Linked DNA regions of Tribolium castaneum. The protein of the gene in region 1 interacts with the protein of each later gene in a pairwise test. Links are inferred from orthologs where the notes say so. Each region holds a gene or a part of one and is shown on either strand. Other genes may lie near its edges.

Region 1 (4,336 bases):
TAAATAAATAAAAAGGTATTTGCTTACTGCAATGAACTCGTGTCTGTCCAACATTCCGTCCTTATCTTGATCCGCCAAATCCCAGATTTTGCCCAAAGTCTCGAACGGTAACTTTGACTCTAATAAAACGTTCTTCACCTTGAATAACACAATTACAAAATTTCCGTACAAATAAACAAGGTATTACTTTATTGCCGGGGATTAGTCCGTTAGTTGGTTGTAAAGAGTCGAATAATTTATCGTATTTCTCTCTTTCCGCTGGCTTGACGGTCCAGTCGACTGCGGTTGGAGGTAAAGAGGTAATTAAAGGAGAATTGCTAGGAGGTGGAGGTTTTACAGGTTTGGGTAAAGGAATGTCTCCCATTTTTGGCGGAGGCACGTCCACATTTACGTTCGATAAGGATAAATCTCTACCGTTTTGTACAAGAGCGACTAATTTTAAAGCTACAAACATGCCCGACTTGTCCAGACAGCCGCGTCCACCGGGATCGGACAAATCCCAAATTTTCGACAGGATTACGTCGCTTAGCCCGGATCGTTTGAGGAATCGCGCGGCCTCCATGCCACCCACCGTACCGAACCCGTTGGGGTCCACCTGGAACAAACACCCAATTGTACTCACACTTATTCAAGAGGAATTATCGATTTGGCCTTGATGCCCTGTTACGTAAAATCTGTTGTTAATTAAACAGCAACACTGGCACCATTTGCGAACTCATCCGTGGCCACTTCAGTAAATTAAATTTTAATAATAAAAAATAAAAAAAATCAAATTTATTTATTTTCGAAATGTTCGTATTTCACGACGTTTTCAGATAAGCCATCTGCATAGAAATCTGATATATTGTAGGCATTGATATCAGCTTGCATAAAAATAATGCAATTCATTTAGAAAATATCAGTTTATAACAAGAATCATGAGTAAGTTTAAACAATTTTTGTATTTTTTTTTCAAAGTATCATGGAAGAACTGTGGTGCAAATTTTGTTATCTTTTTTCAAACAATAAGCGCAATATTATTGTTTCAGACTTTACATCATAACATGTTAAGATAACAAGTAATAAGTAAAAGTACAAACTAAGATCCTTCTCTACCAATTTTTTTATTTTTTATTATAATAGTGCGACTTATGCCTGAAGATGGCCACATAAATCAATGGCCGAAACATGTAGCTTCAGATAAAAAAAAAATACGTATTATACACAATCGTATGTCTCTCAAAAGGAATTAAGCCTATAATGAAAAGAGTTTGTTCAAACGTGTGTTCCAAAGTGGAGAAGAATAAAGTTACTCTATTTCAAATGGAAATTAGAATTCTAAAACAATTACACGTTTTCGAATAATCTCTGCACTCTGATTAATTTGGAAAGTGCCTTAAATCCTCAGAATCTGCCGATAAAAACCGTAGTTTAACTCTCATTTTATTTCGGTTTTGTTCTACGAAAGGAATTAATAGTAGGTACTAAAAATTTTGTTTTAGAAAACGTTTCAAATGCAGTAAATTGTGAAAAAAAATAGCAAGAGCTAAATAATAAGCTGTACAAAAATAAACTGAAAAAACTAAAGGATATGCAAAAAAATCTTCAGTCAGAGACAACATTGTGTAGTAAAAATTAAGTCCAAAAGCACAATGGTCTTGTAAAACATAATTATTTTTTGCAAACAAATTTAGCAAAGTTGTTTAACACTGAAGACTATAATACAAACAATACTTTTTTAAAACAGAAAAAAATTAAGCGAATATTTATTGCTATCACAATTAAACACTATCTCTAACAAAATGTGCCTCTTCATACACTCTTGATCTTTGTATGAAGCACAAACTTGGTAACGATTTCTTGCTTTAATGTAAATGTTTAGCCCTTTTGCTTGGTCTTTTACACTTATTTAATAAAATTTTGGTCAAGAATTAGTTCTAGGAAATGGTCAGGAACAGCTTGACCAACTTGAAGAAAAAACAAATCACAACCACCCCTTATCTGAAAACATTTGTGAATAAATAATAGATGCAGCCTGTTTCAATAGCACTTTTTGTGTTTATCTATTAATAATGCTTTCGAAAAATTAGTCAAAATTCTGGGGCCAAAAACAAAAAAATGGTAAGTCACCAAAATTTTGGCTGTAATTTCCGTTTAATTGGAATCAGAATGTGCACTTACCACATTGTAATAAGCCTCATATATGGCACTGTGGTTTCCAGCCACCTGAAACACACCATGAACGTGCATAATATTAAAATCGAGCCAAACATTCGCCGAATTTCATAGTTTCATGCCTTGGTGCTCTACGAGCTGTCCGAGAACAGTTACACGTACGAATTAATGTGTTTTAATTGATCTTTTCGCAGTTTTGATTACAAACTGACATTTGTCAAATTTTGACGAAAACTCGGGGTGTGCCAAAATGTGTGACATTCAACAGTTGAATTGTACAATCATCGTGTATTTTTTCACAGGAAAGGGCAATTCCTTCTGATTCCTAATCGTTTTTATGATAATTATGAATTATTGATAAAAATATTATGCTTTAACACCGCCCACTGTCACAGTCGAGACGTGATAAGGGAAATGGTTTTCGCGTAAAATCTAGCACACTCAGAATTACAAAAAAGCAACGGCACTATCAGGCACTGATAACACACACTGTGGCTTTTTCCAAACTCGAATTTTCGCAAAATCAAGGCAAAATCACCGAATAGTACCTGTGTCGGTGACGGCAACGCAGCCATCTTTTCGAATGCCCCAAGTGTTTTCCTATTGGTAAATACGTTTTTATTCGACCAATCACAACTACAATCAATAACAAGATGAAAAATGCTGCCAACATTAACCGAACGGCACGAAATTTAAACTCGGACTAACTCTAATCAAGCAAAGATTCAATCGCAGCCTCGCACTCCCCCGATAATTCAAACGGATCGTTCTGCAGGGCCTCATAAATGTGGTGCTCCCTCAAAAAAACGTCACTATTCTTATACTCTTCCATGAGAATTTCGGTGGAGATATTATCGGACTCGATTTCACGCAACCAGCGCATTTTCTTGTTCAAATCCTTGACGACGTTGTAGCACTGCTTGAGTCTGGGGCCCAGAAACACGTTGGCGTTGATCAAGCGCCAGGCGTTTGATTGTTTTTTCCGGTACATCCCCTTCAGAGACAGCTCGTTCTGGACCACATAGGTGGCACAAATGTCGAGGAGGCTTTTGGGCTTCCCCGTGATTTTTGGGACTAATTTTCGACCACGTCTCAAAACTTTCGTCGGTCTGATGAAACTTGACTGGGCTTTACTGGTTAGGGGTTTTTCAGTTTCAGGATTGGGGCGACTTTTTTCGGGAGTTTCGGGTTTGTCCCGGTTTTTGGTTGAGGGTTTTATGTTGTTCAAGTATTCAAGTAAATGGGGCCGCACGCTAAAAGCGTCATTCAAATGCGTGTTTATTAATTGTTTTTTTTTACTTGATGTCGGGTAAAAAGTCGTGCGTTTTTTTCATTTTTTCGATAATGGGGGACGAGGAGTCGAAGTCTTGGGGCATGTCCACTAAAGTCAAGATGTAGACTAGAATTGGGGACGGTAGTTCGTCATTCATCAAGTCGCAGATTGATTTTAAAGTCTAAAAATTGGGAATAATTTTTTTTCGATTAAAAAGTGGTTACCTTCTCGTAGTTTTTCTTATCTGTTTTTCCGTTATTGTAACTGTGAATCAGTTGAAAAGTGTTTTCTATAGTTTTGGGTTGGTTTTGGAAAATTTTGTGTAAAACCATCATTAAGAGGGACTTTGTATCTTCCATTTTCTCAAAACTATTTTTAACAATAATTAAATGTCACTTGTCAGAGATAATTGAAGCTCGAATTCAAGCCTACTTTAATTTGGTTTGAAAAACTAGTTCACAAAAAATTATTTTGTTAATTAGTTGGCCACCTTGAAAAAGTCTGTTATTGTCAGGTTGGCAGTTCTTATTATGATTAAAATTTACTAATCCACTATTAAGGCCACGTTTAAAATAAATGATGTGTTTGGTAAATAAAGCACGTAAATAAGAAACACACTTTTATTGTCAAAAAATATAAATAAATAATTCGACAGCTTTAAGGATTTTTTATCCAAAACATTCTCAACATCAAAATAATACTATCAAAAAAACAAGAAGAACAGTATTACCTAAAAAAAACGAGCAGATAAACAAGTACTTTATCCTTGAATGCCTTTTTCGACTAGATTATTAGCAGTACACAAACCTAAAGCTTTTAATTTATTTGCTACTAATTTTTATTAAAGTGCCATGTGATCAAAAATGACTGTTTAAGTTGTTTAGGTCAAATTATTAACGGAAAAACCAC
Region 2 (3,655 bases), on another chromosome or scaffold:
TACTAATTTTGCAATGTTTTAGCTCGATTGTAGCAAAATTTTACGAAATAAACTCATCAAAAAACTAAAAAATGATATCACTTTTGACCTAATTAATTCTAAAAGTGGTTATACGGTTGAGAAAGACAAAAAAATTATGAAACATTCCTTAATATACCGCAAGATTTTATGTTTTAAATTTCTGCGGTGAGCTTATTTTACAGTTTCTTTGAGGTGGCGACACAAAAGATGTGAATTATGTAAAATTGTCAATCTCCTATCTGTGCTTATTCAGTGTTGCAAACTTAATTTGAGACCTTGGGCTACTGTGAGGCACTTAGTGACAAAAATGCAGAACAAACGATATAATTAATTGGTGATTTCCGTTTAAAAAACGCAACATTATGTGTCGAGTTAGTAACAAGCCACTAAGCAAAATCGGGCTAAAAACGTGCAAATTTTTATCCCGACTTTCGACCTTTAAAAAAGCGATTGCTTACTAATGCGGTTGAAAGGTCTGAAGTACGTAGGACTGTGACTAGGTAAATTTGGAATATTACTTTCAGACTGAGAAGACACTGTTGGTATGAACCGTTGCATTGATTTTTGGTGTAAAATGGGTTGGCAATTAGGTCCAATGTGTTCACTTCGACTCATTTGTGGGTGGTAGCCACCATTCGTCCCTTCGTGAACACTGTACAAACTTGAACACATATTCGCAGTGAGAGGTTCCTCGTAATACGCCTTCACAGTCTAAAAACAAAACGACAATCAAATTAAACCAAACCAAGAACAATAATCACTTACACAAGTCATTTGCGGCCGGTAATTGGGCGAAACGTGATTGGAATGATTCGAGTTGTACGTTCGAGCGTAAACAACTTCAGTTCCATCGCCAGCACCGAAATTCGGATGCTCCGAAATATGTTTGTAGTTGTTGCTTGGCGGTGCAGCGTTTCGCGGCGAAGTGTTTTCGCTGGGTAATGTTTTATCAGGCTCACTATTGAAGATTTTCTCATAATTTTCAATCAAAATCTCCACAACGATGTTATAAAATTTCAAATCCATGATCGAAGCAACCGTTTCTTCCTCGGGCCGGAGCAAAGTCGGCCCGAAACAAACACCCAAGTTGCTCACAGTCATCAAATTCTTGTCAGATTTGGCGGAAACACTGCAAAAATTATTAGTTGTTTGCCAAGCGCTTAGTGGTTTAAATTACTTCGTTAAATGCTTGATTAGGATTTTGATCACTTCGAAGTTGGTTTTTGGTAACCGGTGGATTAGCGTGTGCACGTCGTGTATCCTCATTTGGCGGGTCTCATTTTCTGGTAAAAAATTGTAACGTGTTGGAACAACAACAAAAACGATAACTTACTGACTGCCGCTATGAACCCGTTATGGTATTTGTAAGTCATGAGTGGTTCCGGGAGGTTCCGTAAGTAACTTTTCAAAGCGCTCGTTATGGTTTTGGTTTCCCACTCTTGGGGATCTTCCAGAGATAATTTATCACATTTCCTGCGATCCAAGCCCATGTTTAGCAATTTGTTCACTTTCGAAGTGACTCCAACGACCCGATAGATGCCTTGCTCCTCCAAACCGCGACTTTCCAGCACTTCGATACATTTTTTCACAAACTGGATGCCTAAATCGTCGAGGAGTCGCTCTTCCGAATTTTGTGCTTTGTTAACACCTGGAGTTGTGTAAGTCTGGAATAATTGTGTCAAATTTTGATCAAACTGTGTTTGATGAAATACCGGTTCTTTGCCATCCATAATATCCAACCAGGCCTTCCGGTCTTGCTCCGAAAGCGCCTGGAAGGTTAACACAACCCCAGGTTTTGAATCAAACTGAATATCGAAACAAAATCTCTTATCGATGGAATCAGACATTCGCCTAACACACGACGTCAAGACCATGGCTTCAGGTGGCGAAATCTTCAAACGAAAAATCAGGAATGAAACGCAACCCTGGTAACTTACCGTTTTGGTTGTTAGCTGATTGTACGGTAACATCGTAAACTCTTTAGTTTCTTTGTCATATGTGCAAAAATGTTTGGTCCATGTGGTACCAAAAGCTTCTGCAAAACCAAGCGGTTATTGGCGTTTTCACGCATTAAAACCTACTTTTCTCCAAAAGAAAGAGGTAGCCCTCCCTGCAACCCTTATTCTTTTTGACCGGTTTTTCGGAGTGTTGAACGTCGGCCATTCGTTTCCGCAATTTATTGCTGTAGTCATCAAAATTGGCGCGTGTTTTTTGTATTTTGTGTTGCAAGTCGACTGTGTAGGGCCGAAAGTCTTTGGCTACTTCATGCCCCTGGTGGTAGAAGGTGAGCCATCCGAACAGAAACGTTAAAAGTGTCTCTACGAACTCGAATTTTTTCCGCTCATGCACTTCTTGGATCAGATAGACGTATTCCATGCTGGCCGTGAAGAAGTGGCGTTCTGCCATGTCTACAGAAGCGTCGGCCTGCAAACAAAATATCGATCGTCCCTTTGTAATTGAATAAAACACGAAGATCCCTTTCAGCTCGTGTCAGTCGCGAAAATTTTCGACACCTACGCATTGTCGATGCTAATTTATTTAGGACATCCTGACGGTTTCACGAGACGGCCGAATGGAAAAACCACATTTCACTGAATGGTGAAAAAGTGATATGGCACTAGGGAAATTCGCAAAACGTGGTTTGATGGAAAATGTCAATTTGGAACTGGCTTGCATTGAGGCCTTAGTGGGTGAAGGCGCAAACGCACGCTGATATGACGTCATTTAATCGATACGCACCCACGCAAATTACGTCATCGTTTACGATACAACCCCCGCGGAATCTCTGAATGAGATCGCCGATTGATTCATGGACGGATATGACAGGATTAAGATAAAGGAGCGAAGGATCGCTGATGACTCATGATCGAAGGGCAATGCAAAATTTAACGATGTGGGAAATGAGGCACGGGAGCCCCAACTGCCAAAAATATTAATCGCCGATCAATATACGAGGCCAAACTTAATTTCTGAAAAAAATTTAACACAACCAGGACATGTACGAGTATCTGTTTGAATGACGGAGAGCTAAGAACTATTAGCCTTTTGTTAGATTTACATTTTTTTTTACTTTAAATCTAGTGTAATATTATTTTCCCTTTCGTTAACAAAGGTCCATAAAAAAGGAGATAGCACACAATAGTTCATCAGTAGGAAACTACTGACTGCGCCAATGAAGTTTGTAACAACAAAAGTAACCGCTTTAGCAAAGAAACAATTAATTTCCAGCTATTTAAAGGTCAATATTGAACAACTCGCTAGAACAATTTACTGTACAGGGTGCTGCATTTTGGATGTCCTTAATAGGGGATCTCCGAAACTAAGAGGTTTAGAGAAAAACAATTGACACATTGGTCCGTTTTTAAAAAAAATAATTTTGGTCAAAACCGCATCCTGCTATCGTTTTTTGTTTTCGACTTATAAACAAAAGTTGACATTTAAGCAAAATCTTAAAAACATCACATCATCCTTATAATAAAAAACACATTTGAAACAAAGACATTATACAGGCACTTATTTACAGAGAATTTAATAATGTTATCAGTGGTTATTTTTATTCATTCGTTTAGCTGTAATAACAAAGTTGTTTTTTTTAAATAGGAATCATTGTTGGCCTTGACATTTTTAAAAAGCT
Region 3 (3,655 bases), on another chromosome or scaffold:
CTATACAACATGCCTGGGTAGTTTGTGAATCGTCTCCTGTTTAGAGGAGACTTATCATTTCTTGCCGGTCTGTCTTCAATGATCTCAGATCATTGTCACTTATCTTGAACATCATTATTTACTGATCAGTGATCAGTTTTATTACCACTATCATTACATAAATAATTGAAAACGTCTGCCAACTTAGCTAACTTAAAAAGCGGGACATTTTCACAAAACGAAATCAAAAAATACGCCAAAGTAACTGGTATTGCTAGGTCAAATTTGACTCAGAAGTTAAATACTGACGCAACCCAAATACTTACACTGTATCTGGAAGAATACATCGCGCCTAGAGAATACCTGGAGGGGGTTGAATTTATCAGGTCTAGACACCTACAGCGATTTGACAATTTGACTTAACTACGGAAAAACAAAACCAGTTGACAGTTAAACCGTATTCGCAGCGTTTTGAAAAATCTGAGACGAAGCGCAAATTTTAAATTTAAAACAACTTTTTTCCCACATTTCTCGTGAAAATTTTGGTCGTCACTTTTTCTCAGTCTATTAAGAATGCAAAGCACAACATTTCTGTATTTTTTCCAAGTAATTAGTGAATTGAATTGAATTTGAATTAATTTAAAACGATCTGGTACCGGGAGTAAAAATACTACTCTCCGTATTATATTTTTTGGGGTGCGATTTTGTACCTCGTTTCGTTCCCTACTCTAGTTTCAACTTACTGGTGTAAGCATTGACTAATTCGACTAAAGTGAGGAATGTTTTGTTGGTGGAAATGTAGAATCCGCCGTTATCAAGCGGCTTGATTTTGTAGTGTTTGACGTGGTATTCCCTGATCTCCTCCCAGTCTTTGACTGAGAGCGAATACCCGTTGGGATTATGCTCGGAAGGACGGACTAGGAAAGTTCCTCTTGGATTTTCCTCGGCGAGGAGAAGCTTCTCGGCTTCCTTTCGCGATACGTTTTCAAAAAACCAGCTAAAAGACAAAGGATGTGACAATTTCCCGTTGTGATAAGAGGAAAAACCGATACTAACTCTTCGCTTTCGACGCTCAATTCGGCCGCTACAAAATTTCCAGGGATGTAGCCCTGGACTTTGGTTATGAGATGTATCACATTTAGCCAATCGCCTTCGGAGTCATCGATGACTTCCATGCGATCGCCTTTCTTAAACGAGACATCGCTGCTGTCGCGGGCCTCGTAGTTGTAAAGGGCCACGACCACGCGGCCCTTTACGGAAAGAGGGGGCCGTGTGGGGGTCGGCCGACTCCTTATTATATCGACATGACTCCGCTGAGGGTCCGGTGTGTAGGGATTGTTGATTGTCAGTCGAGGTGGACCACCTGGAATTTTTTTTTCATTATTTTATGTAGGAGTTTTCGTGACTAGTAACATTTTGGGGCCGCCAAGGTCACCCGATCTGACACCGTTAGACAATAATGATTTACCCAACATGTTTGGAAAATACGAGGGAAAATATAATTTCCAACTTGAATAACTTGTTTGCAGCACGAGTGCAGTGAGTGCTCTTGGATGGACAGTTTTTGTGGCAATAAATTTACAAAGAAATTATAAATAATTATGGGTTGGTTTTTTTATATTATATTATTCGAAAATAAAATTAACTAGACGCCCTCTGGTGATGACTTTTGAACTATGTCGAAAACAGTAACGAAATTTTCGTAATTCCACATTTAATTGACGTCTAGTAAATTGTTTAACAATTTTGCGTGTATAGTGTTAATTGCTTACATTGGAGAGAATCACTTTAAAAGTACGTGGTGGTAAATACTAGCTTTGACTTTGGTTCTGCGGTTTTTCGTGGTGTAAAGTGTTTATTGTTGGAATTTGAAAATGAATAAAAAGTGAAAAAGATTTAAATTTTCATTACAAAGTGTTATCAAACAATTGTCTAATTAAAGACTATAGTAATGGATCACAGCGAACACAAAGTTGGGCTCAAGAAACCAATAAATTAGTGAATTTTAGGTTAGAATTTTTCCACTGATAAAATCATGAAATACTTCGATAAATCAACAAAACTACAATTAAGATTAACAACTGCTAATACACTTAAACGTAAATTATGCCAAAAGGTAGGCTTCTCAATGTCTTTGTAATAATTTTCCAATAAAGAAAGTAAACCAAAAAGTCATTCATTATTCGTGTTTTCCTCGACATCTCCAATTTGTCAACATTCGTTTCTTCCACCAAAGATACAATAATCATTCCGCATAGGCAATGTAATAATTGTGAAGCCTCAAAATTCGTACAACGCTCAAAATATCCGAATAAACATTTTCCCGCCATTTATGGTTACTGTTTTCGACCTAGCTCAGTGGCGCCCTCAACGGTAACTTTACTTCCGAATATTATATTATATATTATATAGGAAATATTGGGAGAGTTGGGACACTGAATGTCAATTTTCGAAATTTTGGTTCATATACGTCGGTTGGAATGTGTAAAAAACAAATTGGGATAGAAATGAGTGGTGTTACACTTGAAATTTGGCGAAAAGTCAAATAAATTTGTCAAAAAACGTTTCCATTTTTCGTCGACTAACTGCGTTTAGAAATGGTTTAGATTGGCAGTCGTCGTCAATTCACTGTTTTTTTTATATAAACTCCAAATTTTAAAAGAGATTTCTTTGTAAATATAAGAATTTTACGTCTAAACTCTTCATCATAAACATTTTTTCCTTAACTTTAAGAAATGGTAATCATCGATGAAAGAGAGAGAAATTGAACCTTTCCTGCCAAGTTTTACGTTTATTATTAACAAGCATTTGGAAAAGTGGATTGACTAAATAATATTATGTACAAAATCTATGAGATTTTGGGAATTTGTCTATGCATTTACAAAATACGTAGGTACTTGAACCCAAAATTGGTTCTAATTTTTAGGAAAGTTGAACCTGTCACTGCTTGGCCGCCTTTAGCATCTACGTGAACTTTAGATTTTGTTTCAAATTATAAAGTTATTGGGAATTCACGATCTTGTTACGTTTTTCATACGAGAACACCTTCAATATCATTTTTTAGAAAATTTAAAAAGACGACAGGAAATATGAAGGGTTCTTGATGACCAATTTTTGGGACGTCTAACTAAAAATTGTGACTGAAAGAAAAGCATTTTTAGCATTGAAGTATGTTTTAAGTTATGTATTTAATATTAAAATAAATATTGAAAAATTTCAGAAATGTGAACATTAATATTAAGAGGTATTCAATTATTTTCTTTTTTTAAATAGTAATCCCAAAATTTCTACGTTTCCTACGTCCCTGGTTAAATTTGACGTAAAATTATGTCATTTTATGCATTTGACAAAAATTATAACCTTTTCGTCATAAACCTCTGACATAAGTAAGTAACAAAAAAAGGAAAGAAATATAGTGGCGGTCAGCTCGATTTGCGTGTGCGTCATCAATTTCATTTTTTCATTACCAACACAAAGCTATAAAAAATTATCAAAAACAATGCAAATTTAAACAGCTAAGGGCTATCTAAGGGTGGTATCCTTTAACATTAATTTACATGTGCACTTCGACAACACCGTCAAGTGTCACGAATTTGTCAAACTGACATTGACAGTAAATTATAGACGTCGTCGAAAGTGTTATCGGTGTTAATCGCAAGTATTTTCTGTTCGTTTA

Evidence for each region.
Region 2: the proteins of Eps-15 (region 1) and Graf interact in a two-hybrid assay, tested with the Caenorhabditis elegans proteins (2 studies listed by BioGRID). The link is inferred for Tribolium castaneum from reciprocal best matches to the Caenorhabditis elegans genes ehs-1 and T04C9.1.
Region 3: the proteins of Eps-15 (region 1) and Src64B interact in a two-hybrid assay, tested with the Caenorhabditis elegans proteins (2 studies listed by BioGRID, with this or other methods). The link is inferred for Tribolium castaneum from reciprocal best matches to the Caenorhabditis elegans genes ehs-1 and src-1.

What each region holds. Positions count from the first base shown.
Region 1 is NC_087396.1:20,523,265-20,527,600, reverse strand, and holds the start of Eps-15 (epidermal growth factor receptor substrate 15-like 1), read right to left. Parts: upstream 2,814-4,336; 5' UTR 2,730-2,813; coding exon 2,703-2,729; intron 2,206-2,702; coding exon 2,161-2,205; intron 596-2,160; coding exon 188-595; intron 139-187; coding exon 28-138; intron 1-27. Other genes in the region: uncharacterized protein LOC103314840, read right to left, coding at 2,864-3,407, 3,454-3,608, 3,652-3,786.
Region 2 is NC_087402.1:9,655,768-9,659,422, forward strand, and holds part of Graf (rho GTPase-activating protein 26), read right to left. Parts: intron 2,693-3,655; exon of another isoform or gene 2,539-2,692; intron 2,446-2,538; coding exon 2,103-2,445; intron 2,057-2,102; coding exon 1,734-2,056; intron 1,686-1,733; coding exon 1,355-1,685; intron 1,305-1,354; coding exon 1,199-1,304; intron 1,151-1,198; coding exon 787-1,150; intron 733-786; coding exon 480-732; intron 1-479.
Region 3 is NC_087394.1:24,284,824-24,288,478, forward strand, and holds part of Src64B (tyrosine-protein kinase Src64B), read right to left. Parts: intron 1,343-3,655; coding exon 1,036-1,342; intron 977-1,035; coding exon 723-976; intron 1-722. UniProt on the Caenorhabditis elegans protein: Non-receptor tyrosine-protein kinase which plays a role in endoderm development by controlling spindle orientation in EMS blastomere, probably downstream of receptor mes-1.